Drosophila melanogaster: one gene and its partner. The protein of the gene in region 2 interacts with the protein of the main gene of each other region in a pairwise test. Each region holds a gene or a part of one and is shown on either strand. Other genes may lie near its edges.

Region 1 (9,941 bases), 5.6 Mb from region 2:
ACAACGCACTAAATAAAACACCATATATAATAATGAAAGCTAAAGTCATAGTCAGGTATAATAATAATAATATCTTCATCTTTATTATGTTATTGCATAAAAACATTTCGTGGGCAAATATCTTAGACTAGTTTAATTTACTTAAAATGGGATTTATCAAGGATTACACTGGGCTCACATCTTAAGTCTCGAAATTCGTTTCATGACCTCGACTTAGATTTTATGGGGTAAATACTAATTTTGATCCGTTGCTCAGATTTCGCGCATCTTAGCTACTCTTTAAAAATCTCTAAATTTGTACTTCTTCTTTCGTCAGTTTCAGTTGCATCGAAAATATTGTCATTATTGCCAAAAGGTTAACAACAAAAAAAAAAAGCGAAAAACTTGTGAAATTATATTGAATAATTGGATTTATTTGATTTGATTTCGTTCGATTCGAATTCGCTTTCAACTAACAAAATACTGAGAGAATAATATCAGAGAAAGAACTGAGTGTTATGCGCATATACGAATATGTTAGGTTAAATAAGACTAATTAATTATTTTAGAAAACATACTCATTATGTATATGTTATAAACTATATTTTATTAATTTGACTTTGGACTGTTGGTATTGTTTGGTTGTTTCGCTTGACTCAACTTACAAATTAGATTTAACTTAGGCTTATGTTTCTCCATGCATTTATGATAGTTTTTAAACCGTTTTCAGGGTTTTTAGTCGATTTCGAAAATACAAGAGTGTATAGGAGACAGATTGAAAGGTGGCTACAGTTCAATACAGTTAGGATAGTTAGATAAACTTAGGTCTAGAATTAGCGGCTTAATTGGCTTATGTACAATTTTCGACAACAAAATAATGTTTGGAAAACTTATGCTACGAATATATACAATTCTGGACAACGATTATATGATAATAGTGATAAATAATAATAACAAGGTGATGGTGATGGGGAACTTAGGAGTGAGCATTCCTGGCCATGTGAACGAAGAGGCCGACGGGTCCGTCGCACTTCTCGCCGCACATGTTGCACTTGAACACATCGTCGCAGCTGTGGTAGCCCATGTGAATGGTGTAGAGCACGGCGTCCTTGAAGAAGATATCACAGTACTTGCACTCGTAGATGGCACCCGCCGCCGCCGGAGTTCCGGATGGAGGAGCTGCAACCGCTGAGGTGGTTCCATTGCTGCTGGAATTGCTGCTGCTGTTGCCGTTGCTATTGCTGCTGGCATTGGAGCTGTTCCCCGAGCTGGACGCCGTCGAACTGGCACTGGTATTGGCCTGCGGCACATGGGCCGTCTCCATCGACTCATCTGCCGAACTGGTGCCCGAGCAGTGCTCCTCGGGCATGGGTTTGCGTCCGGCAATGGGCGAGGATGCAGTTGGCATGGGTGTGCTGGGTACTTTCAGTTGCTCGGGAGATGTCATGGCCTCCGATCGCAGTTGTAACAGGGTGTCCAGCTTGAGGACGCGTCCCTTGCGTCTCGAGGCATTCGAGCTGCTCATCAGAGGCGTGGCCTCCTCCTCCACCTTGAGATTCATGGCCAGCGGCTGCTGCGGTTGTTGCTGCTGCTCATCCTCCTTCACTGGCGTTCCTTGGGACAGATCCATGGCAGAGTCCACTGACTTACGCTCGTACTCATCGTCCTGCTCCTCCTCCTCATTGTCGCTCTGCTGCTGGTTCTGTTGCTGCAGTTGCTCTCGCATTCTTGGCGACAATTGGGCCAAGACAGCGGCCTGTTGTTGGGCGGCCAGCATCTGGAGATTGAGGTTCCAGTAGGGGAAGAAGGCCATGTTGCGGTTCTGCTGCAGAAGGCTGGCCAGAGGAGGCAGAAGATTGGCTGGACTGGGCAAGCTGGGCGTCTGTTCCACACTGGCCACACTCTTGGCAGGAGAGGCGGGCAGCGGGAGCACTGGAGATGCCGCCGGAGGAGCGGAGTTGCCTTGAACCAGAGGGAATCCTTGCAGGGCGGCACTCAGCTGAGATGTGGCGACTGGCTGAGCTGGCTGAGATTGCTGTTGCTGCGGAGCGACAGCTGCAACATTTGACTTCCGGCTGCCGCTGCCACTTCCTCCACTGGCAATCGGTCCACCATTCTTGCTCTTCGGACCACGACGCGTGCCGTAAACATCGATGACCAACGAGGGATTCGGGGTGCCATCCTCGTCCAAAACCATGCCGGGCTTGTGACCATACTTGCGCAGATGCAGCTTGAAGCTGTGGCAATACTTGGTGGCGTAATCACAATCCGCACAACGGTACTGATACACAGAACTGTGCGACTTGCGGTGCGAGTTTAGCATGGATTTGTTGACACACGTGTAGCTGCATTTGTCGCACTGGAAGGGCTTTTGGTTCTTGTGCTTCCGGATATGGTACTCCAAGTGGTGCTTGAACTCGGTGACGAACGGGCACTTCGGGCACTGCAGGATCTTGTCTGGTTTCATGTGGGTGCGGGTGTGCGCCCAGAAGTCCACCTTGGTGATGGCCACCACGCCGCAGGTCTTGCACTTGTAGTTCTTCATCTTGCCGTGCGAATTGTAGATGGGCATCCGGATGTTGGTATCATCGTCCTCGGACTCGGCCATGTACTTCATGTCCTCGCTGGAGTTCGACATCTGATCGTGCTCCTTCTCCGGCTCAATATTCGACTGACTCGACTTGGCCGGCGACTTAGGCGGTGTGACATCCATGGGTGGTGTTAGTGCCTGCAACTTCTCGCTGCTGCCAGTGGCAACTGCAACGGGCGCAATTGTGGAGGCAGATGTGGGCGTGGGCTGCGGACTGGGTCGCAGATTGCCGCCATAGAAGTGCTGCATGGGATTGGGCAGACCAGGTGGCGTCAGCGGATTGAATCCACCCATCAGATGGTGATGGTGATGATGTTGCTGCTGGGCTGCCTGGAAATGCTGCTGGTACTGCTGTTGCTGCAGCAACTGTTGCTGCAAGTTAGCATCGTAATGCTGCAGGCTGTTTTGATCGTTTTGGCTGGGTGATGGGGTCATGGCGCACAGGGTATCCATGGGTTGCTGCTGAAGCTGCTGCTGCTGCTGCTTGAGGAACTGTTCCAGGTGATTGGTCGAGGGAATGGGCGATTGGCGCGGACTGCTGGCCACGCTATTCCCGTCGAGATGATGACCTGGCTCCTGTTTGATATTTGCCGCGAACATGCTGTTGTACCAGGCGTTGTGCTGCTCGTAGTTGGTCGTGGCTGTCGTCTCCCAGTTCTGCATCTTGGCGGCTCTAGACGGCTGTAATGGATAAGAAAACAGAGAGAGTGGGGTTAGTGGGCATATTCATTTATTCATTCATGCACTGCGCCTGCGTCGAGTTTTTTCCTCTTTTTTTCCGCTTGTTTTTCATTTTATTTTTCCTCGCTTTTATTTTTTTTTTCTCTTTTTTTGGTGTGCTTGCGGCACCACCCCTAACAAAAAATACGTCAGGGGTGGCTGGGCGGCACCCACCCCCTGAAGGCGATTTGAGTGATTTTGTGTTCAAAATGGAGACACTTGGTAATGGCTAACAATATCCTACCGTTTCGTGGCCGCTCAGTGCGTATGATTGCGATTGTATCGAAGTATATTCCAAATTTGTCGGGATTTTCGTAAGGATTTGCAAGTATATTATTGGTGCTGCTTCTGTTGTGTTGTCGCAGTGGTAACAAACTCGTGACTGACTGAACAATTGCAACAGGCATTAGTTTATATATCGCTCAGGTAGACGGATGCACGCGTCAAGGGATTAGATGGGCAGAGGTGACGGGAAGTCAGGTACAGGTCGCGGATCGGTCGGGAATCGAGGATCACGGATCGCGGATTGAGGATTGCGCTCTTGATCCATTCTGGATTAGAGCAGAAACAAAAAATTATGCGCACTTGGATTTGGATGATCCGGGAGCTTAGCGGATGGCCAGCTTAGCAGCGAGCTGCGAATTTTCCACCGGTTTTCTATGGGGATTACGTTGGTCAGGAGTCGACAGCAGGAGTAGGCAGCTAGCGTGGGCAGTTTCGTAGTTAATAATAAAAAGTAAAAAGGATTGCGGGACTTAACTAAATTAACGGATCAGAACTGCTTACACCTGCGGGAAAACTCTAAGGACCAACTAAACTATATGCATAATATGTGCAGTATAATTATTACACACCCATTTGAAAAACATTTTCCTGACAACAATTTTCCGCCAGACATTTCACTTTGATTTGCGTAGTTTTTCTAATAATTCTCGCATTAAAATTGCTTGTTGCCTATATTTTTTCCATTTCCAATTTCACACTGAAAAATTGTGCAGTTGCTGCATTTTTGGCTAATTGTTTGTGCTTTCAAGTAAATATTATTAAAAACGCAAAACGGGAAAAAGGGGCATTTACGGAATATTATTATGGGAGGATGGTGCTGTGCTATCTGGCAGCTAAAATATCTACAATACTTAGGCATAATTGATGGTTCAGGAAACAGAAAGTGCACCACACAAAATGAAGCTTAGCATATTTATTTAAATTCGCTTTTGTGGATATTTTTAAAGAAAGCCAAAATTAATTGCTCGGCAAGTGTGTTAGTGTGTGTGCGCACTATGAAACAAAGAGAATTTTCGCCTTTCGTCTGGGCTTTTTTGTGCCATGCCCAACAACAGCAACAAAGCCAAACTAAAGGCCAAGTGTAAAATTAATATTACGCCGGGCAGGGGCATGGGCCAAGGGGGCAGGGGTGGGGGCATGGGGACCATGCAGTGGGGGTTAGTGGCGTGGTGTGGCCACAACGAGTGCAGCCAGGCAACCGAAACTGCAAAAGTAAACTAAACATGTGCTAGTCGTTTTTGGTGCCTCCCCCCCCACCCCAACACCGCCCCCTTTTTAACCCTCTAAAAATATCATGAAAATGGCAAAAATGGAAAAATTCGAAAACGCAGAAAATGCGCCACACAAAAAATGTTTTTGTTGAAAAATCCGTACAAAAAGCAAGCCAAGAGCAGGATATGCCTGCTTGTTTGCAGGCGTATATAAAATATATGTATGTATGCGTATACATATGTGTAGTTGCAACCGTTATGTTGTTGGCTTAGAACAACTTGTTGTTTTTTGGAGCTGCATTCGTTTAGGGAAAACTGCACTGCTGCTGCTGACTGAAGTGATTCAATGTCATTTGCGGTTTATAAATATATCCCGTATAATATGTGCATATTTATTTTTATGCGCCTAACAAAGCCCCATTTGTTTGAAATGCGCTCAGTTCTTTTTGTCGGCAAACATTAAAACTGTCGGATGACAATCAATTCTGCAAAAGATCGTGCAATAATGATTCCCATCATCATCCTAAACAAAAAAAAAAAACAAAGCCTGCGAGCGTCACATAGGTGTATTCATTATATTTGAAATGCATTTTGGCAAGTGCCGAACTATTTGCCATTAAAAAATTGCCACGTTGACTTTGAATTATAGTTCGATGTCTAAATTTAAATTATTAAAAAAGAAAAGTCGAAAATGCATTTGCCGAAAGAAGAGCGAAAAGAAATGCTAAAAATTGAAGGGGTTATTTGGGGGGCAGGAAGGCGAAAAAAAAACAACATGAAAGTCGACATGTAAACAAATAAAATTAGCTGTCAGGCGTAGAGGGGGGCGTGGCCAGGGGCGTTGCTTAGGAGGAGCAAATGAGGAGGGGGGGGGGTCGGTTGGGGGTTGGATATACGCTGCAGTTCTAGGCAAAAACAGACAGAGCGGGCAAAAAACAAGTTCACCCGAAGATCGGCCAAAAGCCAGACAGATTTTAAAATATTGTTTTAGAATTTTTGCCATTTGCATTTTTAGCAATGATTTACCACTCTGTGTGGTTGTGTGTGTGCATGTGTGTGAGATCTCTTGTTTGTGTTCCTAAGGTTAGACAGAAAAAGAAGCACTCGATTACAAACAACAAGAAGAGAACAAGAAAATGTGCAGAACTAGAAGAAAGTTGAGTACTTGGGATTAAAGGTGATTATGACATAGAATAAGCAAATTGGTTATCAGTCATCAGATTAGCATGAATTAATAAAGTAAAATACATTAAGCATAGTGCATAATAGCATATAAACGAACTATTTAAATCTGTTTCTTTTGAAAGTATATCACATGATGAATTATAATTAAACAACTATATATCGAATATATTCTATAAAAAAAAACAGATTTCGTATCAATTGAGAACTAAATTAAAATTTACAGGGCGTATGTAAATCCTCACAAAAACTGTGTATATTCTGGATACCCCAACATTTTGGCATTTGCTCCCGCAAAAGCGATTTGTAATTCTTGTTTATTTGTTTATCCGCGGAAAGCTTTTGCGAATTTCTACCTCCATGTGTTTTTTACGATTTATTGGAGGTCGAATGCAGTGTATAACTAGGATATTGGATGGTACGCCCAGTTACTTACCTTGCGGACAGTCCAAGTGCAATTCTGCGGGAGAATTTGGAAACGGGAACCGGGAGCAGGAGCAGGAGCACGTAAGTTTTCGCTTTTCGCTCGCGGACTCTCTCTTTCCCACTCTCTCGCTTGACCGCGGCACGGTTACCGTTAGACCAACACGCACAGTGCGTGCGAGGGGGAGCGGCGATGTGGGGGCTCCTTGCTCTTCGTTTTTGTCTATTTTTTGGGCCTCGCTTTTTAGCTTGCTTTTGTGCTTTCTTTTTCGCGGAATTCGCGCATGTGCGGGATGTGGTCTTTGCCAAAAAATAAGTTTTCGGGACAAAAGTCTTTTTGCAATTGGTTATCTTTTAGCACAAGCACGAAGTTTAATTGTATTTAATGGCAATATTTGTTTTGATAGCAGTTACGTTTCGTCCTTTGGATGTTTGGTTATTTTTGTATTTCAGTGGCTGCCTGTCAATGCTGGCGACTTTCGTTTTCGGGACTCGGAGCACAACTGACCAAACTCACGCTCAGCGGGCTCTTCTAATAGCTGAAAATCTCCTCACTGCTCCTCACAACAGTGCACTCGCCAAAAAAGAACTCAAATCTAAAATCTCAATTGCAAAGCAAAAACAAATGCCAGAAGTGCAACAACACAAAGGCGCACGAGAGCCGTTACACGGAGAAGCAGAAATCGAAATGAGAGAGCAGCCGGAGAGCATCAACAACGTAACGACGAAACTCACTCAAAACGGATACGGATGCTAGCTGTAAATCTGAGTGACTTTCCCCATCCCCAAAAGCAATAACTAAACAGCATCCCCTTCGTGGCGTTCGCTCTTTCACTCACTCACCCACTCTCTCGCTCTGACTCGCTCATTTTATCCTTTTGCATTTTCTGGCGCTGCATTTTGGCCGAATGCAGCTGCCTTTTTGGCTCTTTGCCGTTTTTTGGCATCTCCGCTTCACTATTGATTATTGATTTCTGGCCCAAAAGTGAGAGAGCGGAAATGGAGGAAGATGGGGGGCCTTCGCCAATTGTTTTTTGGGCAACTTTAAGCCCAGACACATTAACAACTTAGCCAACTGCAATTGGGACGATGGAAGTTTGGGCCGAGGAGATTCCTTGTTGCTTTAACACATTTTCCTGTTGCTGTGCGTGTTAACTTAATTTGGGCAAAGCTTTGCCACAATTAGCATTCGAAATTCCAAATCTCCTTAAGGTAGTTTGTGCATATTGGGTGTATTCCACCTTTTTAAGCTAATTTCGGAAAATGTATCATTGTTAGCTTGACAAGGATTATGGTTAGCAATAAATGCATATCATTAATAGTATCATTCGGTTTAGACCAATTTTTTTCCCAAGCGGAATGTTCGCTTTTAGAATGATAAATTAGGAGCGATTGTTCTAACTAGGTTTAATGACAAATTTTGGACTAAAAAAAAAAACTATTATTATTATTCATTATTCATAGTTCATTGGTAAAAACCTTTTTTTCTCTATACAATACAAAAGGATAACTTATTATTTGTATGGATCAGAGTTTTTCTAAAGAAAACATACATGCAAATTCATAATTAAGTTCGGAATTAATGTGCCTCCAGCTATTTTATTCAATCTCCTGTTTATGTGGAATATTTGGGCTAAAATCTCCTGTTTATGTCGAATATTTTGGCTAAAACTAAAGTGGAACGGGGAGAAATTAGGGCGTTGGCAGAGGGGGTGGGGAAAATGTAAAAGCAATATTTACAAAACAACAGAGCAAACAAATCGCCGCCGGAATGCAAATTATACAAGTTGCTCTCACATATCCAGAGGAATATATGTGTCAAAAGGACGTCTCGGGAACAGGTAGTACCGGAGGTAGACCTGCCATTGACGTTGACATGGCAAACCGGATTACGAATACGAACTGCAACCGGACTTAGCGAAGAAAGGATTAAAGGACGCAAAGCTACCTGATCGGCCCGCCCAGTTCATTAATCCGCGCATCCGAAGAAGTGCGACTGGAACTAGAGTGATGTGGATTTAAAAGCGATTTAAAAGTTGGCCGTACTTCTGCACAGGACATAATCCAACATTACGCAGTACGCAGGATCACGCAGGATCAGCGCCGCTGATCCGGAGGATCCAGTTAGTCCCGAGCGATTAGCGTTCGCTGATCAGCCCGATTAGCGTTGCTTAGGCGGGCGGGTGCTGTGTGGATCCTACCCAGTTACGTTTGGAAAGTTATGTAAAGTTGAAGTTAAGGACATAACAAATAGTCCCAAGGACCGTCACGCTTGACCTTTTAATTGATGAGCTGCGATATACCTATCCGGTGATCGGGACAAACACAAACATGCTGATGATCATGATCGTCTAATTGCCGAAAGTCCATGCCACGCATGCAAATGATCCTTATCCTTAACCTTTGGCCTGCGGCTGTCTCAACAGAAGTTCCTTCGAGGGGAAGATTGGGCAGATCAACAGGGCGGATCCGCACATCTTTATCTCATGATCTTCGCATCTCCCAAATGATATGCAAATGTATCTGTAAGATGTGCAGCCAAGCGCTTGGGATTTTGTGGTCGACCGATTCGCCCCTGGAGGGAGTATCTCATTAGGATTTCACTTTTTTTTGTGTTTTGATTTGGCGCACTCTTCTGCTGACCTTTGTCCTGCGGCCTGTTGAGATATCACCTTGAGTTCGTAAGCTGATTTCATGCCAAGGATGATTTGCCATTTTACTTCAGGTTTTTTCTTTCCTTCTGAAGGGGATTCTCTTTTTTGGCTGTTTTGGTTTGTGTGGTTATTGTACGGCGATTTGGCTCTTTGATCTTAAGTGCAAATTGGTTTCGCCACACAATTACTTAGATTTATGCGCTACTGTTGGCTAGAGTGCTGTTCGAGAGTAGTTGCATACTTAAAGGTTTTGGAAGCTGATTAAAAAAGTTTAGATTATATAAGAGTAATCCTGTATTGAATCAATTAGAAACCTATCCAAAAGGATAGGTTCAATGATGTTAGTTTTTTTTTTTTTCAAAAATGTTGAATTTATAATTTTTGGTGTAGTTTGAAACGACAGTAAGTATTCGATTCATAATACTTATCGCTTATATATGACTAGAACGTTGTGCTCAGTCACTTCGTGGTTTACTCCCTAACAAAACCAAACAATTTACCAAAAAGTCCTGTGGTCCTTAGGTAGCAAAAAAAAAAAAAAACACTTGCAAATCTCTGCTACATTCGCTGGTGAATTTTGCACACTTCTCCGGCATGTCGAAGCCCTTAGGAAGCCGCAAAAATTAACATTTCGCATAAATCAGATGCGAAAAGTGCTCGCGGGTTACGCCCACGAAAATGGGTGGAAAGCGAGAGGGCTGCGTTAAAATTCCGCCGAAATGTTATGGTAAACAGGATGGCTGTGTACACGGGCGTTCGGCCAACATCCGTAAATCCTTTTTTAGCACGAAAAACCGAAGGATTAAAAAAGGAAACTAGAGCAGAGGTCCCGGGGCAGGGCGAATAGTTGCTCTAATTTTCATTGTCCGCCTTAATGGTTACGCCGTAAAATTGGCT
Region 2 (8,676 bases):
GGCCAAACCGCTCACCATAAGCGCTTCGGTGGCCAAGAAACCAGCTCCTTCCACGCCAGCTCAGTCTCAGCCTCAAGAAGACGATGAATGGTCGGACTTTGTCTCTGTTCCAGTCACCCAACAGCAACCGCATCATCAGCAAAACGCAATTGCTAACAACAATAATATAGTCAACAGCAACGCTAGGAAACCAGCTGCTCCCAAAGAAGATGATTGGTCGGATTTTGTGAGCAGTACTCCGCCAGCACGACCGGCTCCACAATTCAATTCCGGTGCGTGGCAGAGCGCTAATTTCTACAACAATCCCTTGAGTTTGTACCAGGCGCAGCAGCAGCTGCAGCAACAGCCTCATAGCAATCTAGTGCCCAAGGGCAGCACCAGCAGCAGCAATAACAACAATGTGCCAGCCATTCCACAGCAAATACACATCATGCACGACTTCTCGACTGCACCCGTGTCTGGAGGATTGGGTGTGGGTGCCACCTACCAGCAGCAGCATCAGCGGCAGCAGTTCCAAATCGGCAACGCCAAGGTGGCTCCACGCATCTCCCTGATCCCCGATCTCAGCTTCGTTGCACCGGCCTTGCCCACAAATGCTGGTGCGTTCATGGGTGCGCTACCGAAACCCACTTTCGGTGGCAAGAAATGACACAAGAAGCTGAGGGTGGGCGGTGGGCGGCTCCAGCAGCAGCAGCAGCGTCCGCATGTGGGCGCTCCTCGCCCACTGGGTGGCGGCGAGGCCACCATCCTCACATAGGCGAAAGGATCGATCGCGCACCCGGGTAGCCAGTCAGTATTATGAATCCGTCTGATATTCACCATAATCCGAACCGTCACACATTGTAGTTTTGAGGCAAGCTGTGTTCCATGTTGTTGTCGTTGTTGTTAACCTTGTCGTTGGCATAATTGTTGTTGTTGTTGTGCATGCATGTTGTAGTCTTAGGCGTAAAAATCAGGATTTAGAACGAAACAAACAAGTAACCATTTTGTGCTATAGTTTGATTCTAAATTTATGTTTTACTTAATTTGACGAAAAAAATTATACTTTTGAAAAATAATATTTTGTAGAGCGAAAAAACTGTTAGTATGCTTGAAAAATTCTTTGTTTTTATCTAATATTATTTAAATGATCGGATATACTTTTAGAATTCGAATTATTGGGTAAATAAGTCAAAAAACTCTAGAAGAATTGTAAAGTAAAACGAAAAAGAATACCGCACACCAGTGAAATTATGTAATTTAAGGGATATTTCTGAAATCCTGCGAGATTTTAAGGTTTAAGCTTATGCATCCGATAGCATGCAATATCTCTATGCGGTCATATCAATATAACAACATAAGATTTATCATAGATGACCAAAAAAGAAAAGATACAAATTAATAACAAGGATTTCGGAAGTATCCCAAGTAAGGAAAAAATCGGCATTACTTTTAAAAATGTAAAACTATTAGTTCCATGATGATTTTAGCTTTAATCAACCCCAAAGTTAGAACCCTAAATCGGAAAACTCCGCCTATCTGAGGAATATCATCAGTTAATCCCTGCGGCAAAGCCTACAAATGCATTCCACTAGCGGCGAACTTCCCCTTTTGTATATCCATAACAAATACTCCAATGCGATTGCGGGCCACCACCACCACATGGATGAAAACCCAACCCGCCTGATGCGAATTTTTTCTATATTGTGTACTTATAACAAGCGACAGGAAAGCGAACTAACCAAGCAAACATAGTTAACGTGTTGTATATGAAATAGGATTTGTTAGTTGATAGAAGAACTCCCATGCATTCCAAGTGTAAATGAGTGTGACTGGTTGCCATGATGATCTCCAGGTAATCGCTGGAAAACGAAACCCAATCCGCTCCAGTTCTTGATTATTGTTTTGTTCGTGTTAATGTGTTTTCATTTATTTATTTTACTTTATGTTACGCACTTTAAGTTGAATGTGTCTGTGTGTGTGTGTGTCTGAAAAATTATAAACAATTATCGACTAAAACTAAGTGTTTGATGTAATCATATGTTTTTAGGCTTAAATGTAAATTACAAATAGATTTCAATTTGTTTTGTTTCATTTTGCCAAGTCAATGAAAAAAAAAGGTAAAAACAAGAACATGATTATAGATGGTTGCTGCTTGGTTTTAAATAAATGAATTACCTATGTACTAGAACGTATTAAAATATATTTACCATATTGTATAATTAAAAGATATGCGCTGATTAAAATAAACCTATTTAAAAAAACAAAATCCTTCAATATATTGGAGCATTCATTTAAAATACAGAAATCTGGTTCAAATGGGACAACACAAATTTGAACTAAGTCGATTAACTAACGATGCCGTATTTTCGGGGGCAGGGGCGGGGTGATTTATCATTTAATTGCTTGAGTGTGTGATTGAAACCTGCGTGTAAGTAGAGAGATTATCAGTAAGTCGAAGCACTAGGTGTCCAGCAGGCCACTACTCTCCTGGAGAAGCCTCGAGAATTAATGAGTGTGTCAATGGGTTAAATCAACAATTCAGTAGTGTCAGTTCCTAGGGGTTTTTTTTTTTTTTTTGGGACAGGTGCGAGGGGGAGTGTATAGCTCTATGGCAGTAAATAGTACGTAATAGTTAGAAATTACACATGTATCTAATATAAATATCTATATAAATAGTGTACAATCGATTCTTGTCAATGTGAATGCGTGGCTTCATCAACATCATCATCTCTTTTCAAATGGTCAACAGTTTTTCGATTTCATTCAATTATCTTAAGATGCCTTAATGCTTAAGCGCGTTGTTTTTATTATTATTATTATCATTATTATCTCTCCTTAACTTTAGCCTTGCTCTAAACATAATGAAACGCTAACAAATCCAAAAAGATGCTCATGAGTTTGTGTAAGGAGGGAGGGGGAGGGGGGGGTTGCTTGGATCACGGGTGGATCGATAATGAGTCTTATAGGGATTGAATCGTAATCGTACAATTTAAAGGCATTTTGCTTTGGGGATCATGGGTCTAATATCAATTTACAATCTGTATAGTCTAGGTCTTTTTGATAAATTTGTTCTTAATTGATAATTTCGATTATTTCACTGACCCAAAGGGAAATATTAACTTCATTTGTAACTTATTTTGGTAACGCCGAAGATCGAAATTGACATTAGACCTATTTCTGAGGCAAACTTGTTAGAATTTACATTGATTACTTTTCGTCCCTGGCTGGAACCACCCTTGGGTGTGGGGCGTGTGGGTTTCGCTATCCGTTATGATATTTTGAACTAACAGTTTATATACTTTTCCTCAAATAAGATCTAAGCTCGGGGCTGCCCAGAACCGGTGTCAAATACGCCTCTCTCCATTCCGATCCAAATTGCCGGAATTCGTAATGATTGAATTGGTCTTACCAAAAATATAAGTGCTTGCAATATTGATATAATTTTGCTTAATGAAACTTTGTAAATGAATCAAATTCCGGCAACTTATCACACGGAAACAGGTCTGAAAACAATTTTGCAGTGGTTCAAGGCAAGGCAATCTACGTATAAAAGCTAAGAAAGATTCCCTCGAGCCAAAAACCAGTTTAGCCCAGGTCTTATTATTTTAAAGATTCTCTGCCCTGAACATGGTAAATAGTCTTCGTTTTAAGGCTGTACCGCAACCCCTTTCGCGAGCTCCTGGAGAGCTCTTCCTCAGAAGGCCAACCAAGGATGGTGCAATAGTGACTCCTTCGATCGGTCCCCGTAGTCATAGGTCAGTTCCTCGCCCGGCTCGATGTCGTCCTTGGCCAGGAGTACGAGATGCGGCCGCTGTTTGATAAGTACTACTTTGGTCATTAGGTTACCAGCCCGCGAGTGATTGATGAGGCGCCCCAGCTTGCCGGTGTCAACGGTTGCATCGATGCAGTACTGCTGGGACTTGTGCTTGAAGTAGTACATATAGCACCCAGCATTCTCGTCCAACGCATAGCGTTTCTCCCGTTCCGCGGCTTCGCCTATAGATATGAGATCTCCCACATACTCAACCACAAATTCGTTGCGTTTAAAGGGCCGATCGGCGACTACGCCTCTTCCCTTGCCCATAAAGTGGCGTACTTGGAGACCATCGCAGCGCTCTTCCAGCACTGCTTGCTCCAAGCCTCGCATCCATTCCTCCTTGACGGCCGTCTTAGTCTTGCGCACACTCCTTCGCACCGGGAAGAAGTCCGTCATCTCACGATTGCCGTTGGTGGCAGCCAAGGGCAGCGGCGGTTGTCCCTTCGTTGGCCCCTTGCTTTTGGTCTTTGATTTCACGGGCGCAGGCTTGAGCATCGTTTTCATGCCTGCTTTGTTGCTGTTCGCTGTGGCTGGTGCTTTGTTCTGGTTTTCACGCTCCTCGGCAGCCTTGATCAGGGCTCGAACGTCGTCCTCGTCATCTCCTTCATCATCGTCGTCGTCTAGCACCACGACGATATCATCCTGCTGCTGCTGCTGCTGTTGTGACGGTGGTTTCTGTAGCTGTGGCTGGTAAGGCGCTTGTGGCTTTGGCTGGTTCAGTCTTCGACGCGACTTGCAGGCTGCCACCGCTGCTGTTGTGGTCGGCAGTTTTCGAGGAGACTTGCGCGGCGACAATGGATCCGCAGATCCGACCTTGCAAATCCCTCCAGTTACCTTCAAAGCCGTTTTGATTGGCGAGGGGCAGAGGATGCGATGCGGTGTGGCTGGTTTTCTGCGTCGGGGTTGCCCCGCTGGCGATTCTGTATTGGCAGTGAGACCACAGGCTACTCCGCTGTCGCAAGAACTACTGTCATGTTGATCCAAATCGAAGTGCGGCAAGTCCAGCGCCTCCTTTTGTCCATTCAGGCTTACTATTTGATTGAAGCGTCCATTGAGACAGGCGTTTAGCACCGACGGAGGTGATGAGAATACGGCTCCGGCCAGTTCGAAGCTCCGATTGATCTTTATGCTGGAGGCTTTGGTGGGCGTGCGATCAATGTCCAGGGTCAGTACCGGCTCCTGCAGGAAGATGTTGTCGGTGCTGCTGCTGTGCGTGGAACTGTGGCTGTCCCTCAGCGCAGAGCGATGTGTCTGGAAGTCGGCCAGAGAGCCCAGTCCCTCGAGCGGCTCTGTGACCTTTTTGATGTGTGGAATTTCTGGAGTCTGCTGGATCTCCTGCATGACATCCATATCATGCTGATAAAAGGGCGAATTGGAGGACGCTCTGGAACTGCCATCGAACAGAAGTTCCTCCACCACCTGCTGCAGTTCCTCATCCATAAGCTTTTGTTCTGCCTTGGCATCTACTTCGTCGGCAAAGGGAAGGTTTTCATTTATCTGCTTGTCTGCCAGCTTTAGCACCTCGTCATCTAGTTTTATCTGTCCATTTAGCTCCTCATCGTCCAGTTTCAGTTCCTGATTTCCTAGATTCAACTGCTCCTCTGTGTGTATTGTCTTTTGGGAATCCTTAGCGGCAGCATTGGCTTTGAAGAAGTTCTCAATGGTGCGAGTTTGTGAGCGCGTGGCCAAGGGAACTCCTTGAAAAATAACAAACAAGGGGTATTTTAGCCAACACAGCTAACCTAAAAAGTACGAGAAGCGTACTCACCTATTGTGCGACCCGCTTTGTTGTCTTTGTTGTGTGCCATCATTGTGGCTTCCGGCAGTTGGCCATTTTGAGTGACCTTCATCAAACGGCAGTCTTTCCGCTTGGGGCTGGCAAAATACTGATCCTCCAGCAGATTTCCCGCCACATTCAGTGGCAGTGCCTGGTCAACAGGAATTCCCGATCCCGAGGAAGCTCCACCAGAGGATGAGGATGCGGCTTCCTTGGCGGGCCGTTGTCGTCTTCGCACCATTATCATTTAAAATGGGTTGGGGGCGCGTGATCGCTGTGTGGGCGGTAGTTACTTGGGTTTTTTTTTGGCGTTGGCGCGTTTTTTTCTGGACACGCGTTTTACCTCTCACACGCACACGCGGAAAAACCAAACTGCAATTACCTGAAGGTAACCGAAAAAAAACAAACAACAAAATTAACGTAGAACTCATAAAACAATTGCACATTACATGTGTGTTTTTTTTTCCTCCTTTTCTACCTCTCTTACTCTCGCTCTCTGCCATGCACTTTTCTCCTCTACTCGCCCCTCTTGCGTACAGTTTTCGCCACTGAAAAAACGTAGTCGTTATTGTTGTTGTGCGAAGCGAGCGAAAGAGGAAGAAGACCAAAAGAAGGGAAAAAAAGAGGGAAAATAATGTGAGTCCCCGCAATGCACCTCGCTCGGAAAACTGTCGTCATACGCAGAAGCGCATTTTTAAACGGATGCGATCGACTTTATGCATGGCAGCATTTCAATGGCGGGGGAAATTAATTGTTGCACTTTTCCGCAAACTTTTTTGGTTCTTTCTTTTTTGCGTCGGTTAGTGTTACCAGATTGCGCATCTGCTTTCACCTCTCGTGTATGCGGCCTCATTTTGTAATACCAAATTCAGTATATTTTCATATTTTCAGCATGTTTTAAAGCTGTGTTGGGCAGTACTAAAGTATTAAGTTGAAAAAGATATGTTAAATCAATTTGACTAAATATGAATTATTTATATCTAAGTGGTCTAATGGTACCATTAGAAAAAGACGAAGGTTTTGGATTTATTACATACATTTTCTAATGACCTCATGTAAATGGTATCTGAAACAACTCTATTATTTACACTATTTAAATATTTAAAATACTCTTCTTGGATATTAAAAAAAGACAGTTAAGTAATTCATAAAAATCCTGTGTTTTATTAACCGTTTACAACAATTTTTTTTACATTTTTGTAGCATTTTTTGCTAGTTTACAATAGATTTCACATTGAACGGATAGTGGCTAATGTTTTCCAAACACATTGGGTTCGGCGGATGCTCCTCCAGCGGCACTCAGCTCTTCTAGGAGTTCGTTGGACTGGCGATGTCTGTTGGGGATATTGGCACTTGAGTACAAAACATTCTCGCCATTAGAGTTGCTCAGTCTGGGATGGGCGCTGTTTTCGGGATCCGGATCTACTCGGTTGGCATTGAAGTCCGAACCGGGGACACAGTTTCTGGCAATCAGTGAACGTTGGAGCTGCGATAGACAGCTGGAGGAAAATTTTAAAATATTACTTTAATACATAAAAAACAAGAAAATAAGTAGGAATGAAGTGTATAAGTAGGGCAATTATAATATATAATTCCTTAGTTATATGATTTTAATAGGTATCTAATGGAATGTTTTTGGGTTATCATATTCTTTATGTATTTTAAAAATAAAGTTGTATATTTCTGTTATTCTTTCGATGAAACTTACCGCTCGAGCCTACGATCGCTGCTCCAATCCTGCAAATCGTAGAGATCCGTGAGTCCCAGCTCGCTGGCCCGATGGAGATGGCCGTTGGCCAGGAGGGGAGATGCGGCGTTAAAGGACCTCTTGCCGTTGGTCCATCCGCGGGAGTACTGGAAGGTCTGGCCCATGCACATGGAGAGCGTGAAGAGGAAGAGGGGCAGCAGCAGGAGGCGCAACATGTTTCGGCAGAAGTTAGTCCTGTTTGCAGGACACTCGGTAATCTCGGTTGGTTCCTTTCGCGTTCGAATCACAACTGCGTCTGAACTATTGATGCTCCTCGACGGGCTTTTATATCGTTGTTAGATAGCCATTAAGGATTGATGCCAAAGGATGCGTGATGTGTCTGCGTTTTCCTCCAGAATCCTTGCTTCAATGCCCTCCAGAAACACACACTTACCCAGATTAACCGGGGATTATTAGCACCCAATTGTTTCAACTTGGCAGTTAGCGCCCACATGTGGCCACGCCCCCAGCTGCCGCCACCGCCCCTTGTACCAACGACAGCTGGCTGCTCAAACTGAATGCATTTGCTGATTGGAAAACTACCACTTTTCCCGGGCAAAATCCGAAAGTGGGTGGCAAAAGGCAAAAGGCAAAAGGCTTAAAATAAAATGCTTGAGCCGAAAAAGTAATTTTCTTCCCACTCCAAAAGGGGAGTAAAATGTCCAAATTAGACTTGGATGACCTCAGGTAAATGGATTTGCAAATGGACTCGGCCAAAAATAGCAACGACTTTAATTAAGTTATATGTGGACTAGTTACAACTGTTTTTAATATGCTTACTAACTTTAAACTCACACTTTCAGCAAATGAAAGTTAAAGATCAACTCGTTGGTAATATAAAATGCTATAAAAATTCCCTATAAATATACAAAAAATATACAATTTATATTATAAATATATAAAAATATATATATAACACGGACTGGCATTAAGTACGTTACAGACTAGTTATTTCGCTATCGGGCACCACGCTTGCCCGATTGCCACCATTTGCTCCACCATTCTGCTCCATTTCCACGACGCTCTTCTCCTCGTTGGCCTTTCGACGCCGCAGCAGGAAGTAGCACACACTAGAATTAAAAAAAAAAATCATTTATAAATTTAGAGTTAACTTATGAAAACCTTAAATAACTTACACGAAGACCAAGACATTGGGAATGTAGAAGATTTCGCCAAAGAGCCAAATGGCACCTGGGAATGAATCCACCGTGCTCTTGTAAATCTCACTGAAGATTGGCGGGAAAATGAATTGGGCAATTGGCTCACTGATGCCAAAGATGGAGTACATTTTGCCTGAAAATTATTTAGTTATTATTATTTATTTAAAAAAATAAAATCCACTCTAAAAGTAGC

Evidence for each region.
Region 1: the proteins of Set8 (region 2) and hb interact in a two-hybrid assay, tested with the Drosophila melanogaster proteins (one large-scale study listed by BioGRID).

The regions. Positions count from the first base shown.
Region 1 is NT_033777.3:8,690,923-8,700,863, forward strand, and holds hb (hunchback), read right to left. Parts: upstream 6,901-9,941; 5' UTR 6,404-6,900; intron 3,679-6,403; exon of another isoform or gene 3,534-3,678; intron 3,251-3,533; 5' UTR 3,233-3,250; coding exon 956-3,232; 3' UTR 567-955; downstream 1-566. UniProt on the Drosophila melanogaster protein: Gap class segmentation protein that controls development of head structures.
Region 2 is NT_033777.3:14,313,759-14,322,434, reverse strand, and holds Set8 (SET domain containing 8), read right to left. Parts: upstream 6,398-8,676; 5' UTR 6,232-6,397; intron 6,125-6,231; 5' UTR 6,055-6,124; intron 5,959-6,054; 5' UTR 5,824-5,958; coding exon 5,568-5,823; intron 5,497-5,567; coding exon 3,677-5,496; 3' UTR 1,941-3,676; downstream 1-1,940. Other genes in the region: Afti (aftiphilin), read left to right, coding at 1-649; Crz (corazonin), read right to left, coding at 6,826-7,075, 7,285-7,499; CG31321 (uncharacterized protein), read right to left, coding at 8,261-8,393, 8,460-8,616. UniProt on the Drosophila melanogaster protein: Histone methyltransferase that specifically monomethylates 'Lys-20' of histone H4. H4 'Lys-20' monomethylation is enriched during mitosis and represents a specific tag for epigenetic transcriptional repression.